Drosophila melanogaster: one gene and its partners. The protein of the gene in region 4 interacts with the protein of the main gene of each other region in a pairwise test. Each region holds a gene or a part of one and is shown on either strand. Other genes may lie near its edges. The genes, in order: Cyp4g1, Capr, Vha68-3 and CG4194.

Region 1 (4,758 bases), 1.6 Mb from region 4:
TCAGTTACGTTGTAAGCAAGTATAAAGTATCAAGTAAGAAAATAGCTGGAAGGGCCGAAAAACCCAGGTACGAAATTATGTATGTAATTTATTTCGGGAAAACCTAACACCACCACCAACCAAAAGTAAATTCAAGGCGTTTAAAGTCCGTTGTAATGATTTGAACTATGTATGAATGTATGTATGTATGTATAATTGCTTAAGTCCTGCAATCAAAAGTCCAATAAAACTATTTTTACCATTTTATTCGCCAGTTGTTCGCAATTAGATATGTATTTGATTAGCATGACATTTATTAAAGTCTAGTTAGTATAATCAGTTATAAAACGATGGGTGGCACGTGGCTTTATAGGAGCAAATGCAAATTTTGCTCTCTTTTCATACTATGCATACATAGGTAGACATGTATGTATATAAAAGAGATCGAATTATGAAACAGTTATCTTTCATCTCTCTTTTGTTCCCTTTCCTTTTCCACTACATCAACTATCGACTGTTCGAGCTTTTAATCCCGTTACTTTGTTCTAAAGTTGCCTGAAATGTAACTTTATTTTGACTACACTCTGTGATTTCAGTTATTCCGGTCAATTTGGTGAGTGCAGTTTGATATTGGAGGCCTACATTCGGTTGGACTACGATTAGTGATAAAACGGCGAAATTAGTTAAAAACCATTGTTAGAGGTTTTCGTAGTGTGTTTTCGGTGTCGCTTACAGTTTTTGTAACTGTGGTTTCAATAAATGCTGTTAAATATCTGACGCAAATGTTCGGTGTAGCTTACGGTTACTTTTACATGTGATGTACATACATATGTACATATGTAAATAGCGGTCGTGTTATTTCATTGTATTAAATCAAGCAACAGAGGCAATTTATAAATAAATTAGAATCTCAGGTAAGCTATAGGCAACTTATTTTCAATAAATTGCTTATCATTTCAACATCCATAACCTTAATCATTGCAAACTATTACTAATAGGATTTCCTATAAACATAGACCTATGAGTATAACGTTAAATGTTATATGTTTAATTACTATGCCTTGCGCACGCGCTCAAATAATCAAAATGCCATAAAAATAAATGGTAATAAGAATCACTTATAAAAACAATCGGATAACGATGGAGGAGCTGGAGGATGTTGCGGACGAGGTCCACAAAAGAGACAGCTTCCTTTTCTTTGTCTGTGGCTTACATACTCTCTTGTTTACTCACTCGATATTTCCTTTTGCATACTTTTGCTCAGGTGTCGAGGACAAAAGCGCCGAAACCAAATTTAATAAAAAGCGAAAGCAAAACAAAGGAATATCATTAAAATGTCAGGAAGCGAGGCAAGAATCACCCACTTCCGCTCACCAGCAGGTAAATGCCGTAAAATACAGGTAGCCGAACAGCCAATGGCTGGTTTGCATATTCTAGATCCTGGCATCAAACGTACATCCGCAAGAAGTAGGGTTGGTGAAAGAGACAGTAGACACATTCACTTTTCATTCAAATGTGTCGCAAATTTCGCAAAAAATAGCTATTTTTAGAACTACGGAACTAAAAAGTTCGTTAAAAGAATTTTACGCTGTTGAGGTGTTTAAACGAACTGACGTCCAATGGAGGAACTCAAATAGTGTTATAAATGTTTTATTATTTAGTGCAAATAATGTTTCCTAATACTAGGATTCAATGTTTATGTTTTTAAAATGGAACCACGAAAGGATTTTAATTAATATACTATACCAAACGTAAAATCAAAGACAACCACGGACTTCGAAATGCAGTCATGTCTGCTTATACGGATCTACAATGACGCAGTGCAGGCATTGGTTCCAAAGGTATCACCGCAAGCGAGTACGTGACTTTGATTTGCTTTGCTAATTAGTGGGACTGGAAATCAAAGTGGCATATGCTTGACTTCAACCAGTGGCCCCAGAACTCTTGGAACCATATAAAATGTTGCATGTGGTCAATGGCGATTCACAGTTGAGCACTGGCGGCTGATATAGCAACAGTGCCATCTTCAGAAGACAAAAAGGATTTGCACCAGAGGACCAGGGATCAGGAGCAAAGAAGCAACAGCAACCATGGCAGTGGAAGTAGTTCAGGAGACGCTGCAACAAGCGGCGTCCAGTTCGTCGACGACGGTCCTGGGATTCAGTCCTATGTTAACCACCTTAGTGGGCACCCTGGTGGCCATGGCATTGTACGAGTATTGGCGCAGGAATAGCCGGGAATACCGCATGGTTGCCAATATACCATCCCCACCGGAGTTGCCTATTTTGGGACAGGCTCATGTGGCCGCCGGCTTGAGCAATGCCGAGATCCTGGCCGTTGGCTTGGGTTACCTCAACAAGTACGGAGAAACCATGAAGGCCTGGTTGGGCAACGTCCTGTTGGTGTTTCTAACCAATCCCAGTGACATCGAGTTGATCCTGAGTGGGCACCAGCACTTGACCAAGGCGGAGGAGTATCGCTACTTCAAGCCCTGGTTCGGTGATGGTCTACTGATCAGCAATGGACATCATTGGCGTCATCATCGTAAGATGATTGCCCCCACCTTCCACCAGAGCATCTTGAAGAGCTTCGTGCCTACATTTGTGGATCACTCAAAGGCGGTAGTTGCCAGGATGGGCTTAGAAGCGGGCAAATCCTTTGATGTTCATGACTATATGTCGCAGACCACGGTTGACATCCTGTTGTCTACCGCCATGGGTGTGAAGAAGCTTCCGGAGGGTAACAAGAGTTTCGAATACGCCCAAGCCGTCGTCGACATGTGTGATATCATACATAAGAGGCAGGTTAAATTACTGTACCGCCTGGATTCCATCTACAAGTTTACTAAGCTTCGCGAGAAGGGCGATCGCATGATGAACATCATCTTGGGTATGACCAGCAAGGTGGTCAAGGATCGTAAGGAGAACTTCCAAGAGGAGTCACGTGCGATTGTTGAGGAGATTTCTACACCTGTTGCCAGCACTCCCGCTTCCAAGAAGGAGGGTCTTCGCGATGATCTGGATGATATCGATGAAAATGATGTGGGCGCCAAGAGGCGATTGGCTCTTCTAGATGCCATGGTGGAAATGGCTAAGAACCCCGATATCGAGTGGAACGAGAAGGACATCATGGATGAGGTGAATACAATTATGTTTGAGGGCCACGATACCACCTCGGCGGGATCTAGTTTCGCCCTCTGCATGATGGGAATCCACAAGGACATCCAGGCTAAAGTCTTCGCCGAACAGAAGGCCATCTTCGGGGATAATATGCTGAGGGATTGCACCTTTGCCGATACCATGGAGATGAAATATTTGGAGCGCGTAATTTTAGAGACTTTGAGGTTGTACCCACCAGTACCACTTATCGCCAGGCGTCTGGACTACGACCTGAAGTTGGCCAGTGGTCCGTACACGGTTCCCAAGGGCACTACGGTCATCGTGCTGCAGTACTGCGTGCACAGACGTCCAGACATCTACCCCAATCCCACCAAATTCGATCCGGACAACTTCCTACCCGAGAGGATGGCCAACAGGCATTACTACTCCTTCATTCCCTTTAGCGCTGGACCCAGAAGCTGTGTGGGCCGCAAGTACGCCATGCTGAAGCTAAAGGTCCTGCTATCCACCATCGTGAGGAACTATATTGTCCACTCCACCGACACGGAGGCAGATTTCAAGCTGCAGGCTGACATCATCCTAAAGCTTGAGAATGGATTCAATGTCTCGTTGGAGAAGCGTCAGTACGCCACGGTGGCCTAGAATCCAGAAATCTAGGACCCCGACTACACACACGCAACCCCGAACCCGAAACCGGAATCCAGCCCTGTATATAGATGATGAATACCGATGAATATCCCAAACCGAAAACTTGATGACGAACTTATAAATCTAAAACACCGAATAAGAACCCAACGCACAAGCCAGCCAGAGAGTCAATTAATTTTTCTTTCGTTTTTTAACTCGTTACTTTTATATTTGATTAATACCTTTTTGTTTGTTGGTCTTTAGCGAGTGGTGCCCCTATATAATGTATACGTATATACTATATATCCTTTTAACCAACTATTCAACGCAACTGTTTGTGCTCTTCACCTTTTTAGTACTCCTACTTTTACCACTATCTATACTTTTTTTTCGTAGCCATGTAGTGTGATTTTTTTTCTTTATTCTAGTATTTATTAAGTCAAATGGTTTAAACGAAACCCAAAAAATATGAAAAATACACGTATGCGAGGCACGTAGCCGATAGAGCTGCAAAACAATTGTAATTGCACATCTTGTAATGTTCTCCTTCTGGGCGGTCGTAGTTTCTACGAACTTGGCTAACATGCCAAACTATAAGAAATTTGAATGCAGATAGACAAACCAAGTGAACAAGTCGACTTGGCTTATGATTCTGCGGTTTTCCAATCAACAAGTTAATGCGCTAATGCGAGGCAATCGACGGTTTGCAAACTGCTGGCAATGTCATAATATTGATTCAGGCCGCTGTCCTTGGCAAGGTATTTTCTGTTTTACTTTATTTCGCTCGCATTTTGGGTACCTGTTCATATTTGTTAGCATTATACTGATCTTAAGTCGACACCTCATTCGATGGGCGATTTGTAATGCGATTAATCGGATGCAGATTGCGATGCTGACAAATGCGAATGCTATTGTGTCGGAATCGGTAGCAGTTTATCGCGGGTTTCGCGGTCAATGAAAAGGAGGTGTATCGGAAATTCGTTAGCCTTCTCTTCTTGTGATTAGCTGAATTCCGCCGTTAGAAGCCGGCTTT
Region 2 (7,686 bases), on a different chromosome or scaffold from region 4:
AGCAAAATGTTTATAAATTTATAAAATTTTATTTTATTTATTAGAAATAGCATTACTTCAGCTGCTGCCACTAGTGTTAATGGTAACATGCAACGTTTGCAACTTGCGTTTCTTTTTGAAGGCCCTGCAAATGACTGAACAAACTTTAACGTGCGTCGTTTTAACTGCCGCTTCGAATTATGTCTTATCGGTAGGTGATCCACCGATCTATTTGTTCAATTATGATTACTGTTCGTTATATAGTTTGTCCTAGGTGCGCTTGTTTATCGGGAGCCACTGACAGTACTATCTGGCATCGGAATAACTCTCATTCTGGCTGGTCTTTGGTTTCTTTGCGACGGAGGAACAGTCGAGTCCGAAAAGCAGGACAAAATGGAATAGTAGGAATGGGATTTGCTTAAGATTAGCTTCTTTTATACACATTTTTCATTTGCCATATAACTTTCTGAAGCAGGGATAAAAATAGTTAAAGAAACTTAATTTTCCATTTGTAACTTTAAAATATAAAAATGTTGGGAACCCCAATTAGTCCAAAAAAACGAATGGTTTATATACTTTTGTTTAATGTATGTACTGTTTTGCAAATACATAGTTTTCATTTCATTTATAATGCACTGTTAGTGTGCACGCTTCTTCATTCACGCGGCAATAATTACAACTATTATGTTTTACGTGGTTTTGTATTTTTGTTTTCATCGTTTGTGTGTAAAAGTTTGGCAGAACAAAAAAAGGTGTTGAAATGGGATAGAGCATGACAGTAAGAGCACAAACTATAAATATATTTATCCCTTCGTTTATATATATAGGTAATAGTAATTAATTTTTATAATTCAGAATCGTTATTTAATTGCTAAGACGTATAAATACTTTTTATATTCTTTCTCTCGACATCTGTAATCATCAATCAGCTTCAACGCAGCCAAACAGACAAAAAGTAAAATCAAGCAAGAAATGGCAGATCCAAGTTACATACAAGTTTTGCCCATCTGTCGTTTGTTTTCCTTGGACGAAGTAGTGTTGTGTCCTGTCCTATCCTGTCTGGGAGTTTTAGAAACCCTTGGAGCGCTTACTTTCCTGTATTTAGTTGTAATTCTTTCGTGTTTCTAACAACTATTTTGTTTTATTATTAATACATTATCGAATAAACCAAAATCAAGGGAAATAGGTATAAATCGTATTGAAAAATGCGCACGAATTGATTTGTGTGTCGGCTTCATTTTCGATTCCCTAGTTGCGTTATAAAGGATTCTTTTTGATAGATTTCCATTTCTTATGGTTGAGAGTGGTTTGCGTAACAATAATTGTACGTCTACGTGGCCATTACTTGCATGTTGATGATTGGTTTCCTTGTTTTCTGTATGGAGGTTGTGTTTATGGTTTGCATGAATTGTATGTGTGTTTTGTTTGCGGGGTTAATACGTATTGTATGCTCAGTTTTTGTTCTCCAGCCCGAGTGGCATGCGTTGCGACTGGTTCTGACGGTTTATGTAGCCACCACCACCACCTCCCTGGTTGCCCGCTCCGCCACGACCACGATCGCCCATGGGCCTGCCGCCGCCATACGAGCCATTTACATTACGCTGCTGGTTGCCACCGCGCTGGCCTCGATAGCTTCCACCGCCGCCGCCGGAGGATTCGTAGCGCGACTCCTTGTTGTAGGTGCCACCGCCACCTCCTCCGTTCTGGTAGTAGTTGTTGCCTCCACCATTGCCCGACTCATTGTTGCGGAAGTACACACCGCTCGAATTGCCCGAATTGCGTCCGTTCGTGTTAGATGAGTTGCCGTATTGACGCGACCGGTAGTTGCCCCTGTCGCCGCCGTTGCGCCGCTCGTCACCTCGCCCTCCCTGATCGCGATCCCGGTTATCCCTGTCTCCGCCACGACGCTGATAATTGCCAGAGTTGCGGCGTCCGTCTCCTTGCGAGTTGTTCCAATGGTTGTTACTCTCGTTGTTATCGGCATAACCGCTATTGCCTCCGCCAGTGCTGTGGTCCCTGGGCGTGGCCCACTCCTGCTTGTGGCTGGTGTTGCTGCTGCCATTGGAGGCGGCGCTACTCATGGCATTCATCTCCGAGCTCCACTTGGTTGGCGGTGCCGGTGGCGTGGCCTGGGTGGTCTCGCCTTTGAGCACATTCGTCAGTGCTGCTGTGGCGGCAGCATTTGTATCATTATTACGGGCATGCCATTCATTGTTCTCGACATCTCCACCAGCACCGACACTCGAGGAGCTGTTCACAGATGACGGCTCATCCAGCTGCTGTAGATTTTGCTGCTGCTGCTGCTGTTGTTGTTGCTGCTGTTTCAGCTGCTGCTGGATCTGCTGTTCATAGGAAACAACAGCATTTTCGTATGAGAACCCTGAGGTCACATCGCCCGCCTGCATGCCAATGCCCTGAGGAGCAGGCTGCTGCGGTTGTTGGGTTGGCAGACGCGGCATAATCAGCATTGGTTGCGGCTGCTGCTGTGGTGGCTGTTGACGTTGCTCGTGGATCAGCACCGGCGAGAAAAGCTGCTGCTGCTGCTGCGGACCCTGTTGCTGGGGCTGGGGCTGCTGCGATGGGAACGATTGGTTGGTGAAGGTCAGCGTCAGTATGGCCTGCGTTGGTTCTTCGACATGGTTGGGCTGTTGCGGCTGCTGCTCAAATACCAATCCCTGATTGGTCGGAGGCGGCGGTGCTAAAGCCTCAGGATTGTCCAGTTCACTGTCCTGCAGAAAATGGAAGCGTCCTGTGCCCAAGACCTCCGCCAAGGGGCGCGAATGCTGCATAAACTGCTGCTGCTGGGGCGTTTGTGGTGCCTGTATTCCAGGACCTTGAGGATGCTGCGGTGGCTGCTTGAAATAGTTTTGCTCCACGGCCCTCACATTTGGAGCAAAGTGGGTTGGGTGTGGTTGCTGCTGTTGTGCTGGTGGAGCAGCTGTTCCTGTTTGCAAGGCCTGGAGATTCACGGGGCTGCTTAACAGCTGGTGAGGATGCGGCGGCGGCTGCTGGGGCTGCTGCTGGGCTGGTGGCGCTGGAGCGTATAGAACATGCACTGGCGTGGTGGTTCCTCCGGCCTGAGGAGCTGCCTGGTAGACCTGGGTCGACACCTGCTGCACCATCGAGTTCTGCTGATGTTCCAGGGATGGAGCTCTCTGGTGCTGCGGCTCCAGAAGATGGCTCGGACGCTCCTGCTGTTGCTGGTACGATTGATGCTGGTCCAGTTCTGCTTGCACGCCCAAATGCAACTTGTCTAGTCCCTCCTCCAAAGAGTTTCGAGCCGATGGCTCAGATGGCAGTTCCGCGTCCAGTTCCCCCGAGCCATCGTTCAACAAGTCACCGCTTTCTCCATCGCCACTTCCAGTTCCACTATCCGTGCTGTTGGCTACCGCGTTCTCGGCCAGTGGAACAAGGTAATACTTGTCCAGGTACCCACTATCCTGGATCTGCTGGAAGAGAGATCGCAACTTCTCGAAGGACACTTCTCCGAAAGACTTCGGACGCGCATTGATGGTCGAGTAAAAGAGTTCGGCAGACTTCTGGGCAGTGGCAATAAAGCTTACATCGTCAGCGGTTTCCGGACGGCGTGTTTGCGTCTCAATGAAACTAAAAAAAAAAAAGGGAAATGGATTGCGGCTTAATATATACCAAAGGGAAATCGTTTAATGTGCGTGTTGATGCGTACAACTTCTCCAGCAATTCCAGTTCGGTGTTTTCCAACTTTTTCGCTCCGTTCTCGCCGTTTAGAAAATCGCTGCGCACTTGATCGTCGTTGAAACAGTTGAGCACGTTCTGAATGATCAGAACCTCCCGAATCTTGGCCGTTTCAGCAATTGTCTTTGCCAGGTTATCCTTAGGTAGAATTTAAAATGAACATCAGCGAAAATTAGAAATTTAACGAGCATACCTTGCGCGCCTGCTTCTTCTGCTCCTTTTCGGCCTCCTTGGACTGCTGCTGAATATGCTTGGCCAGCTCACGGGCAAACTCCAGATTGGCCAGGACAGCATCGTATTTGGCCACTGCCGAAGCTTGGTCCCCGCTCAGTTCCTTTCCGCTGCTCTGTATAGCGCGATAGGACTCCAGTTTGGTCTAGATAAGAGGGATTGATGAGTCAGTTTTAGTCACATTTGTTTGGCTGCAGCGTTTATAATCAGAAATATATACTATATATGTGAAATGTGCTAGCTTTACAAGCTTATTGCTGTCGTTAATGCATTCATTTTTTCTTTGAAAAGTTTTATGGTTTTCCATTATAAATTACATTTTATTGAGCTTCAAACATTTTGTATGGCTACAAATGCCCTCTTCGTAAGATTTGCGGTTTTTACTATTTGATGTTTTTAATTAAATGTTCCAATTCGATGTGGTAGAACTTTACGTGGACGATATTTAAACTGCGTCAACAACTTGCCAAATGAAATTATTAAAGTTGACGCTGTCGCGGATCAGTGACCAAATAACCTTAAACTTTAAAACAATCTGCATTTCAACTTAAAGAAGGTAGTATCAGTAGTAACAAAAAGAAATTACACGTGAGCTCAATTTCGTACCAAATAGTTGCATGATCCTATTTTATTTCTATTTCTTGCCCGTGCTGAAATGTACTTTTTATTTTCATCATATTAATTGTGCGAATCTATAAACAAAACGAGCCGGCAAATAACGTTGCCACCCCCGTCAGCAACACAGCTGTCGACAGTGTGTGCTTTTGAATGCAAGAACTTTCTGGAATAAAAGTGCTATAAAATGTAATAACGTTTTCTGCTGAGCAAGGTAGCAGCTTAAAAAACCCAGCACATCGGAGCATGTAATTTTTTGACTGGTTCTAATTGACATGCCGGCCGCTCCGTGCGATCCGGCAACCCTGTGCTCTAGAAAACATGGCGTCGCGAAAAATCTGCCAGCCCCGAGAACTTAGGCCAAGGGGTAGGAAGGGGGCAAGGGGTGCGCGCAAAACGAAACAAAGCAACACGGAGGAATGAAAATAAAAATGGTGGGCCATGCTGCCGATAAAGGGATCCTTTGCGGCACTTTCCCAAACACTGACCTTGCGCTTCTCCAGGTTCCGAATCTTGTGCTCGATGGTCACCAGCAGCTGCTTGAGCGGATTGTACGGCTCTGGAACGACGGCGGCGGCAGACACAGCATTCGCCTTCGATTTGGCAGCGTTTCCATTGTTGTTGCTGCTCGCCAAATCCGTTTGGCTGCCATCCGCTGTCGCTGCCGCGCTGCTGTTGCTCTGGCCATTGGTGGTTGCGACTCCGGCTCCAGCTGCAACTGCTGTTCCTGGGATTACCGAACCGCCCAGCGAAATGATGGAGGAGCGCTTCTCCTTGCTGACGCTGTTGTTGTTGGTGTTGCTGGCTGAGGCGGCGACGGTGGTGGCAATTGCAGCGGTAACAGTAGCGGTATTTGCAGCCGAAGGCATGGTGCGCCGTTGGATTCTTCCTGGTTGGCTCTCAACGACGTTTAGCTCGAAATGGGGAATGATATTCAATTCAAACGACTGCTGCTGCTGCTGCTGTTTCCCAGTCCAGTTCGCTTGTCTGCTCCTCTCGGGGAAAAAAAACTAGAGCTGGCTTTCGGGCCGATGTGCGTTCGATAGTATCGATGCCGCTTGGGCTAGCAGTTCGATACGATGCACATTGCCGCTGCCGGCGACAATCGATTGCAGTGTGCGATATGGAAAATGTGGTAAGGAGTTGCAAATGTTTTTCGTGTAAATTTTCAATTCGTTCACTTTTTACACTGTGAGATTGTGAAGGAAATAAGTTAATTCTGAAAAGCATTTACTTGTTAACAACTTTTGCAGTAAGAACACAATTCCTGGTATCGATAATCGATATGTCTTTCGACTTTAGAAACATTTTTTGAATATGAAGCGATGATTGATGTTTAAGTACTTTATTTATATTTTGGTGACAAATGCCACAGCTACTCCGCATAAACCCTAACATAGTCTATGACCATGGCGCTGTGCCTGCCCCAAGTGGGGGCCCAAGCATCGCGGTGCTGCCAAAATGAGAGGGCAGCCCGGGGTTCCCTGTTTTTATAAGGCTTGACATCCTTGGCCAATAGACTATCGTCGAAGTTCAGGAAGCCGCCCACCGTAACGCCAAAGATAATAAAGCACTTCTCGTTGAAGAATGGCAGTCCGTCGTACAGCTCCCCATAAACCTCATCGTCTACCATTAGGGTAATCTTATCCCTCTGCCAGATCATGGTGTAGTTGTGAAAGTCGTCCCCGTAGTGGCTGTTGCTTATCTTGTCCTTGAGGAACTGTACTGCATTGCCGTGGTGCCAAACCACACCGCCGCCATATAAGTGGTTTCCGGAGATATCATCTCCTTGTTTCGTCCTCAAATTGGCATTGCCACGGGCATATGCAATTCCTGAAAGTAAGATTTAAAGTTAGGATACAACAAAATGGAAACCCTAGAGCTTTTGAAGTTTTTGAAACCTACTCAATTGCTTGGCATAGTGGGTCTCCGCGTAAGTGGAAACCGGTTGGAGCATCAGATCTTAAATAAATTAAAAATTAAACCGTTTTCGTAACAAGAAAAGGTAAGTTAGTATGCTACTCACAGGGGAAAAGCCAATCCCCCTTGGGCAACTTGGCGCGCACGACGATTTTGCCAAATTTGAAACTGAAAGAGTTTCTGGTGTGAATTTGGGCGGAGAAAACTGGAGGCTTGATGCTATAGAAGATGCCGTGCGCAATGTTGCACTCCTGTTCCGGACTTTCGACGGCCGTACAGCGATCTCCCAGTTTGAAGCTGCCATCGGTGACCTCGGTGGCGATAGTGGGAACGATATGGAGTTCGCCTTCCTTCACAAAGCAGTTGCGTGCGGCATCGTCGAAGGCCACCAGCTCCTCCTCCACGTGGTACATGCGCTGTCTTAAAAGTCGTAAAACATAAGTATCTTAGACACATCCAATGAGTCCACTTATTTCACTAACCGGATGTCATGCTTCCAGGTGGTCTTGTTCAGCTGCGCCTCCGAGAAGTTGTCCTCAAAGATCAGTTCACCCTGGCAAGTATGGCGTCCATTGCTCACTATCGTTTGGGCGGCCTTGCAGCGTTTGGCTTGCTGTGCAGGAGCTAGGTATGCCTGGCACTCGCCCTCTCCTGTAAGGAATGTTATGCCTCGCGAGCTAGAGTCTTTGGTGGTCAGTAGCCGGGTGTTTATGATCACCCTGGTTTCACTCTTTTCGAAGATTTCCTCATTGAACTGCACCAGCATTGATATCTGCAGCTTGTCGTTGTTCTGCAGACTCATCTTTTGCTTGGAGACCCAACTTCCGTTCACTGCCTCCGTGATGTAGTCCATTAGAGCCGGGCAGGTGTCGTCAATTTGGAACATGTAGAACACCCGCTGTATGCCAGGCTCATCTGGATCGATATGAAAAAAGCAACAACGTGTCGTTACTAAAAGTAATTATTCAAATAAGACTTAGTCTAGGCTGATTTTGCTAATCCACCAATTTATTTGTTTTATATACGTAGTTTTTACTATTGAACCTATAGTGGATTTTCAAATACACTTCAAAGCTTTTTCCATATGAATAAATTAGCCAAACCATTGACATTTATGATGTTATTTATTTAACCATAGAAGTGTTGTAGAAGTCACCTGGTATGGACACTTCGAATCCTTCATCCTTTAGCATTTCAAAATTAATACTGGGTACTTTAAAACCAAAG
Region 3 (4,781 bases), on a different chromosome or scaffold from region 4:
TTTGCTTTTCCGATTGCGGCTGCCAGAGGTGTGAGCTGGGAAATTCGTTCCGTTTTCCCGTTTTTGTCGGGGCGTGGCCGCGCTTTTGGCGCATTAACAAACTTTTCCTATAAATCAACCAAATTTTTTATAATCTCCTTTGCGTTCCCGCCGAGGTTGGGCAAAGGATTAACTGCGGCTGGCATCCGCAGGGGAGCTGGGTGGAAATTTTCAGAGCAGGCAGACGATGCACCATTATGGCTTCTAATGAGCAAAACGCGTTGGCGGGTAAATGACTTTTCACCAACTGGAAAATGATTGCGATAAGTTGGCTGCAATTACTACTCGATAATCGCTGTTCGGTGGTGGTTCGGTTCAAAGTGGTTTCCTCTCGCATGCAAACGTAAGTACTTTTTTGATTATGATTATCTAATGTTGGCTTCTCTCTTAAAATTCAATTAAATCGTAGTTTTATCAAAGAGATTGTAATGTCCTAATATCTGTTATATATACATTCGTTATTTCATTTACCTTTTGTAATAATATATAAAAATAGGAATACTAATATTTCATTTTGCTTTGTAACATTTCTATGGCAGATGATGCACTTTAATTTTTAAAATACGAATCGATACAATAATTTAAGTCTTCACTTATCCATCACAACTTCTAATAGTCCTCGACATTATCCTCTATCTCCCGGAAAGTTGAAAGGATATTGTCATGCAGCTTGTTCATGCTCTCCAGGACAGTCGCTTCGCCCAGCTTGGGATCAATGAACTTCATGGTGGAGAGCTCGTACAGAATGTTAGCGGCTTTTATACGGATCAAGCCCCAAGTTACACGCGCCTCATTGTCCGCCGTGTTCTGCACCGACAGGATCGCCGCATCATAGAAGGTCATCATGTTCTTCAGCATGCCAATGGTCTTGAAGAAGGGGCAGTAGGCATCGTACTGACTGTAGGAGTTCTGCTGCAGGAAATCGTCCTTCAGCATCTTGGCCACCTCAAGGGTGATCTTGTCCTCCTCGTTCAACGACGACTTGCCCACCAGTTGGACAATTTCCGCCAGGTCATCCTCCTCCTGCAGCACCTTCTTGGCCTTAGCTCGCAGATGCGTAAACTCCGGATTGGATTCCTCGTAGTAAGTGTCCAAAGTGCGCATGTACTTGGAGTACGATTGCAGCCAGTTCACCGATGGAAAGTGTTTCCTCTGGGCCAGCTTCTTGTCCAGACCCCAAAAGACCTGAACGATGCTCAGGGTGGCGGAGGTCACGGGATCAGAGAAGTCGCCACCGGGAGGCGACACAGCTCCCACAATGGACACGGATCCCTCACGATCTGGACTGCCCAGGCACTTCACCAGTCCGGCTCTCTCGTAGAAGGAGGCCAGCCGAGCTCCCAAGTAAGCCGGATAGCCAGCATCGGCAGGCATCTCGGCCAGACGTCCGGAAATCTCACGCAGCGCCTCCGCCCATCGAGATGTGGAGTCCGCCATCATGGACACATGGTAGCCCATGTCGCGGAAGTATTCCGAGAGGGTGATGCCCGTGTAGATCGAGGCTTCTCGGGCAGCCACCGGCATATTGGAGGTATTGGCCACCAGGGCAGTCCGCTTCATAATCGATTCCATGGTGCCATTGACCTCAACCTCAAGCTGCGGAAAGTCCCGAAGAACCTCGGACATTTCGTTCCCGCGCTCACCGCAGCCCACGTAGATGATGACATCTGAGTTGGAGTATTTGGACAGGGCCTAGGGGTATAAGTTGATTGGAATGTAATCATTTGTCAACTAAACTCTTAGAAACCCTCTCACCTGTGAGATGACGGTCTTTCCACATCCAAACGCTCCTGGAATGGCAGTGGTTCCGCCCTGGACACATGGAAAGAAGGCGTCCAGGACGCGCTGGCCAGTCAAGAGTGGTGAATTGCTGGGGAGCTTATCCTCCACCGGACGACACCTCCGTACGGGCCACACCTGGAGCATGGTGTGCTTGGTGATCTCGTCGTTGAACTCCGTCTCCACGATCACCTCGTCCACGCAGTAGTTCCCGGGCGGGGCCAACCACCGGATGCGCCCCTTGGTGCGGGGCGGTAGTATCAGGCGGTGATCGTGCATCATGCTGTTTTCGAAAACAGATCCGTAGATGTCTCCGCCGGTGATCAGAGCATCGATCTTCAATTTTCCGGGTGTGAATTCGTACGCAATGTTCCTGGGCAGGGAGGGCGTATCGATGCCCTTGGGCACGTATATGGAGTTGGTTAGTTCACTGATGGACCTCAATGGTCGCTGGATACCATCGAAAATGCTGCCCATGATGCCGGGTCCCAATTCCACGGAGAGCGGCTTTCCCGTCTGGTAGACGGGATCACCCACGCTCACACCCGAAGTATCCTCGTAAACCTGAATGGTGGCCATATCACCCTCCAGTCGAATGATCTCACCAACAAGCTGGGAGTGTCCAACGCGAACCAGCTCGTACATGGCTGCGCCGGCCATCTCCTCGGCATTGACCACCGGACCGGAGACTCCGAAAATGCGACCCATCGTCGCCTCCTCCTCTTCTTCATCCGACGAATATTTGTGCGTATCAACCACCTGCTCGATCACAAAACCCGAGTCCTCATTCTTCTCCAAGGCGATGTGAGCGCTCTTGTGGGATTGGTCCGTCGAACGTCTCAAGTCCTTCAAACTGTCCTCGTCATTGACTGTATCATGGGGACTTTCCGGCTCGGCTACAGGCTTGCGTGATTGAGGGGGAGGGGGTACCGGATTGGATTTATGGTCATTACGTTGGCAAGCGCAGGTTGGACATGTGCACTTCTTAGCCGGAACCGTTGGGTGAGGCACGGACCTTGGCTCCCCATCTTGGTTTAACGATCCCGAGTTGCGGGCTCTGTCTTCGTTACTTGCGTTACTGTTGGTGAACGAGGTAAGCGGTGCAACCCAGGACTTCTTTTCCATTTGGTTTAAATATATACAATTTTTTCACTTGGTACAATTTTTACTAATATTGTCAAATAAATAAAATAAATGGGGCAGAAGTTTATGGAAAGACTAAGGTGATGACTGAGAATGATATAGGATTTTAGATTATGCTTTTCAATATATTCCCATTTTCTTAGCTTTCATATAGTCAAGTATGTTTATATAATGAAGGTTTAAAATTCAAAAAAATATTTTAACTTATTATCTTTTTATCGAGTTGACACATTTTTAATATCCATTCTGCTGCCAGTGAAATTCACTTTCAATTACATTAAATGTATTTGTTGTTGCACTTTATTCGTACATTTAATATTTCATACTTTAAATATTTACATAAATTTAACAAACAAACAGGGAGAAAACATGACTTTTTTCACAAATAAACAAGAATTTCCATTCATTAAACAATAATACTATTTATGCATGCATTTGTATTTGTGTCTTTTATGTATGTGTTGTGTGTGCGCCAGTGTCCGTGTACTTTTATTCAAGTGTATGTTGGTGTTGTTGTTGTAAATGGAAGTACATAGCAGGACGTTGTAGTTGCTGTTGCCTAGAGTTGCCCTTCAAGGGGCGGAGGGGGCGTGGTTAGGGGAAAGTATTAACCGCAGGCCGGAATGTTTACATCTCTCGCAGGCACCAAGAAGTTGTGGTATTTGTTGGACTTTTGTTTTTCATCGAATGCAGCACGGAATTGTTGGTGTTTGATTAGGCTTTTTCGGATGGTTTTTGACTGCTTTCATTTTTAAACGTTAACTATATAACAAATATAAGATTAGAGTGTAAAAGTAGGGCCAGCGCGGTCTCTAGTCCTCCAGATTTCTGAAGGCCTGCTGCAGGTCCTCGTGCAGCTGCTCGAAGTCAGCCTTGATCTTGGCCTCACCATCCTTAACGGGGTCCTGAAATGGATTGAAAAATGTGGTCACCCAGTGTCTAGGCAATGGATAAATTTGCGTGTTAACCCACCTTGAACTTCATGGATGACAGCTGGTACATAATGTTGCCCATTGCCTCACGAATCACGTTCCAGGTGATCTTGTTCTCAGACTGAGCCGTAGACTCCACGGAGTGACGGGCCATGTCGTAGAAGTCGATGATGTTCCTCAACATGCCCACGGTCTTGTAGAAGGGGCAGAAGCGATCGTACGAGGAGTAGGAGTTCTGCTGCAGGAAATCGTCCTTCAGCAGCTTGGCCACCTCCAGCGTGATCTTGTCGGTTTCGGCCAGAGAGGCCTTGCCGACCAGTTGCACGATCTCAGACAGATCCTCCTCCTCCTGCAGGATCTCCTTGACCTTGGTACGCAGCGGCACGAATTCGGGGAAGTTCTTGTCATAGAAGTCATCCAGAGCACGCATGTACTTCGAGTAGGAGATGAGCCAGTTGATCGAGGGGAAGTGCTTGCGCTGGGCCAACTTCTTGTCGAGACCCCAGAACACCTGCACGATACCCAGAGTGGCGGAGGTCACGGGATCGGAGAAGTCACCACCAGGAGGAGACACAGCTCCGACAATGGACACGGATCCCTCGCGCTCGGGGTTACCCAAGCACTTAACGCGACCGGCACGCTCGTAGAAGGAGGCCAGACGGGCTCCCAAGTAGGCTGGGTAGCCGGAATCGGCAGGCATCTCAGCGAGACGACCAGAAATTTCACGAAGAGCCTCAGCCCAACGGGAGGTGGAATCAGCCATCATGGACACGTTGTAACCCATATCACGGAAGTATTCGGACAAGGTGATACCAGTGTAGATGGAGGCCTCACGAGCAGCCACAGGCATGTTGGAGGTGTTGGCCACAAGGGCGGTACGCTTCATGA
Region 4 (3,207 bases):
AGTTGTCCCTACATCTGTTTCGCTGGGTAATTCATGACTTGCTGTTTTTCATGTTTGCTGCTTCGATGGAAATGTTTGATTTCCGATCAGCACGCCTCCGTCCGCAAAAAGCCGAATCATCAGCTCCTCTATCATGGGCATATCGGCGATACATATACCAGCGATACCATATTACCATACATCATAAAGCCAGTCACTTGAGATAGGGGCGTGTAGACATTATCGCCATATCAGAACAGAACCGACACACGTTTACAGGTGTTACGGTTACGCTTTATACAATAGGTGTTTTCCTCACCGCCTGGCTTTTCTTGATGACGTAGCAACTTGAGGTTCTTAGGTATGCCTAGTTGACGTGACATTGCAGTAGGTCGGATGAGTCAATCGATTCGGACTTGTCGCTAGGATCCGCTTTGTTGTGGTCAGGTAACCATCGATGGCAATTAGGCAGCTGCTACCCTATCCTCGGTGTTGCTTAAAATAAGTGCCCTGACACACACAATTTTACAATTACATATCATGGTTTTAAAGATAGTTAGTATTTATTGCTTTAGACTTTTCATTAAGGTGACTGTTCAATCTAATTTTAGTTCAATTGTTTTCGGAAATGGTCACAAATCATTATGAAACGAACTTTACTTATTTGGTATAGTATAATTTCTCTGAATTTTTGACAGTGACTCAACGAATCTGGTTATGAATGATGATCTCTGGCAATTTAAGTAAATAAATATTGATCCTCTGTTTAATCTCAAAGCTCAACTTTTGGATAGATGGATTTAAGTGTTTGATTTACTTAGATTTTCCACATATTTTAGTTTTTGTTCGAGCCCTTCTTGACGGCCAAGAGCTCCAGTCGCGTAATAGCATCGTCCAGAAACCTGCGCTGCTCCTGCAGCTGCGGTAGGAGCTCCTCAGCACTAAGTGGGTGAGTGGGCTTAGGTGTTGCCAAGCCCGTTGCAGCTGATTTTGCGGATTCAGTCCAACGACTCCGCAGACCTGATACTCCTATGGATGGCCTAAGCATGTCCAGCACTCTTTTAATGATAGAGGGACTGGAATCCTGCTGCGGATCCGGGGAATGATCCTGCTGGTGGTGGTTATGTTGCTGGTCGCTGGCCACACTGCCCTGTGGAAACTCTGGCATGGTCAGCAAGGGTCCCCACAAAAAGGAACCTAATCCGGGGCCAGCCGGCGATGCGCCTTCCGACGAGTGTCCTTCCAGTTGCTTCCCTTGGGAGGCAAAGCGTCCGTCGAGCAGCTCAAGTTGTCGTTTCAAATCATCCAATTTATGCTGCAGGTGTTCAAAGTCAGCCGTTAGATTGATGGCCAGCCTCTGCGTGGTCTCGCCCTTGGAGATTTCCTCGAGCTTTTCTATCTGAACGCCTATTTGATGATCTCTTAGCTGTAGATCTTCCAGCAGAAGTTGAGTTTCCGCTCGAAGCGGCTGCTCTAAAAAAAGACGTGCGATCTCCGCCTGCAATAGCTGTTTGTGGGTGCGCAGCGCACTTAGCTCCAGTTCCTGAGGATTCCCAAGATTCGAACGGACCAGAACTGATCCCAGGATCATAAGCAAACACACAAAGACTTCTGAACGCGAGCGAAGCATTTTCTCGACTGATATTCGTTTTTTGTTGTTTCTACCTGAGCAGCAAGCGGTGCCAGAATTTCCCTTGGACCCTTGGAGAAAAACTGGAAAATTTTGATGTGTCCATTCACCTACACACTCTTCTTATCTGTATTGTTATCTCCGTTTCTCTTTGCTTGTCTCTTTACATGATGGCTTCGGCAGGTGGTGCCGTGGGTTCCTACCAGTCCAAGTGCAGCAACCAGAGTCCCAGTACAACCATGTCGACGGAAGAGTCTTCGCCGGATTCGGAGTACACAAGTGCGGTCCCCGTGGACTGCAGAGTTACGGATCTGAAGGAGAACGAAATGAAGCAGGTGGACTTCGATGAGGACACCCGCGTGCTGCTCGTGAAGCAGAACGATCGTCTGCTAGCAGTGGGTGCTAAGTGCACCCATTACGGAGCTCCGCTCCAGACTGGAGCTTTGGGTTTGGGTCGTGTCCGCTGTCCTTGGCACGGCGCTTGCTTTAACCTGGAAAACGGAGACATTGAGGACTTTCCTGGTCTCGATTCCCTGCCATGTTATCGCGTGGAAGTGGGTAACGAGGGACAGGTGATGCTCCGTGCAAAGCGATCGGATCTGGTGAATAACAAGCGACTCAAGAACATGGTCCGACGCAAGCCCGACGATCAGCGAGTGTTCATCGTGGTTGGCGGTGGTCCTTCTGGCGCTGTAGCCGTGGAAACCATCCGACAGGAGGGCTTTACTGGGCGCCTAATCTTTGTGTGCCGCGAAGACTATCTGCCCTACGATCGCGTTAAGATCTCCAAGGCTATGAACCTTGAGATCGAGCAGCTGCGGTTCCGCGACGAGGAGTTCTACAAAGAGTACGATATCGAACTGTGGCAAGGAGTCGCCGCCGAGAAGTTGGATACCGCTCAGAAAGAGCTGCACTGCAGCAATGGCTACGTGGTGAAGTACGATAAAATCTACCTGGCCACAGGCTGCTCCGCCTTCCGGCCGCCTATTCCCGGTGTTAACTTGGAGAACGTCCGCACTGTCCGAGAGTTGGCGGATACAAAGGCGATATTGGCATCGATCACCCCGGAGTCCCGCGTCGTCTGTCTGGGATCGAGCTTTATCGCCTTGGAGGCAGCTGCTGGGTTGGTCTCCAAAGTGCAAAGCGTCACGGTTGTGGGTCGTGAAAACGTCCCACTTAAGGCCGCATTCGGCGCGGAGATTGGTCAGAGGGTGCTCCAGCTGTTCGAGGACAACAAGGTGGTCATGCGCATGGAGAGCGGCATCGCCGAGATCGTTGGCAACGAAGACGGCAAGGTATCAGAGGTGGTGCTGGTAGATGACACGCGTCTGCCTTGCGATCTGCTGATCTTGGGCACTGGCTCCAAGCTCAACACCCAATTTCTGGCCAAGTCGGGCGTGAAGGTAAATCGTAACGGATCCGTGGACGTCACTGATTTCCTGGAGTCCAATGTACCCGATGTGTATGTGGGCGGTGATATAGCAAACGCCCACATTCACGGGCTGGCCCACGATCGCGTGAACATCGGGCATTACCAGCTGGCTCAATACCATGGACGAGTGGCGGCCATCAACATGTGCGGCGGGGTAAAGAAGCTG

What was found.
Region 1: the proteins of CG4194 (region 4) and Cyp4g1 interact in a two-hybrid assay, tested with the Drosophila melanogaster proteins (one large-scale study listed by BioGRID).
Region 2: the proteins of CG4194 (region 4) and Capr interact in a two-hybrid assay, tested with the Drosophila melanogaster proteins (one large-scale study listed by BioGRID).
Region 3: the proteins of CG4194 (region 4) and Vha68-3 interact in a two-hybrid assay, tested with the Drosophila melanogaster proteins (one large-scale study listed by BioGRID).

What each region holds. Positions count from the first base shown.
Region 1 is NC_004354.4:466,540-471,297, reverse strand, and holds Cyp4g1 (cytochrome P450 4g1), read left to right. Parts: upstream 1-1,962; 5' UTR 1,963-2,069; coding exon 2,070-3,740; 3' UTR 3,741-4,241; downstream 4,242-4,758. UniProt on the Drosophila melanogaster protein: May be involved in the metabolism of insect hormones and in the breakdown of synthetic insecticides.
Region 2 is NT_037436.4:18,667,604-18,675,289, forward strand, and holds Capr (caprin), read right to left. Parts: upstream 5,722-7,686; 5' UTR 5,409-5,721; coding exon 5,028-5,408; intron 4,070-5,027; coding exon 3,887-4,069; intron 3,832-3,886; coding exon 3,665-3,831; intron 3,586-3,664; coding exon 1,431-3,585; 3' UTR 550-1,430; downstream 1-549. Other genes in the region: CG42495 (uncharacterized protein), read left to right, coding at 45-190, 244-381; GNBP2 (Gram-negative bacteria binding protein 2), read right to left, coding at 5,915-6,372, 6,445-6,501, 6,566-6,879, 6,942-7,374, 7,616-7,686.
Region 3 is NT_033779.5:12,977,062-12,981,842, reverse strand, and holds Vha68-3 (vacuolar H[+] ATPase 68kD subunit 3), read right to left. Parts: upstream 3,058-4,781; 5' UTR 2,944-3,057; coding exon 1,795-2,943; intron 1,732-1,794; coding exon 649-1,731; 3' UTR 550-648; downstream 1-549. Other genes in the region: Vha68-2 (vacuolar H[+] ATPase 68 kDa subunit 2), read right to left, coding at 3,774-3,866, 3,934-4,781.
Region 4 is NC_004354.4:2,067,009-2,070,215, reverse strand, and holds CG4194 (uncharacterized protein), read right to left. Parts: upstream 1,625-3,207; 5' UTR 1,610-1,624; coding exon 815-1,609; 3' UTR 528-814; downstream 1-527. Other genes in the region: CG4199 (uncharacterized protein), read left to right, coding at 1,793-3,207.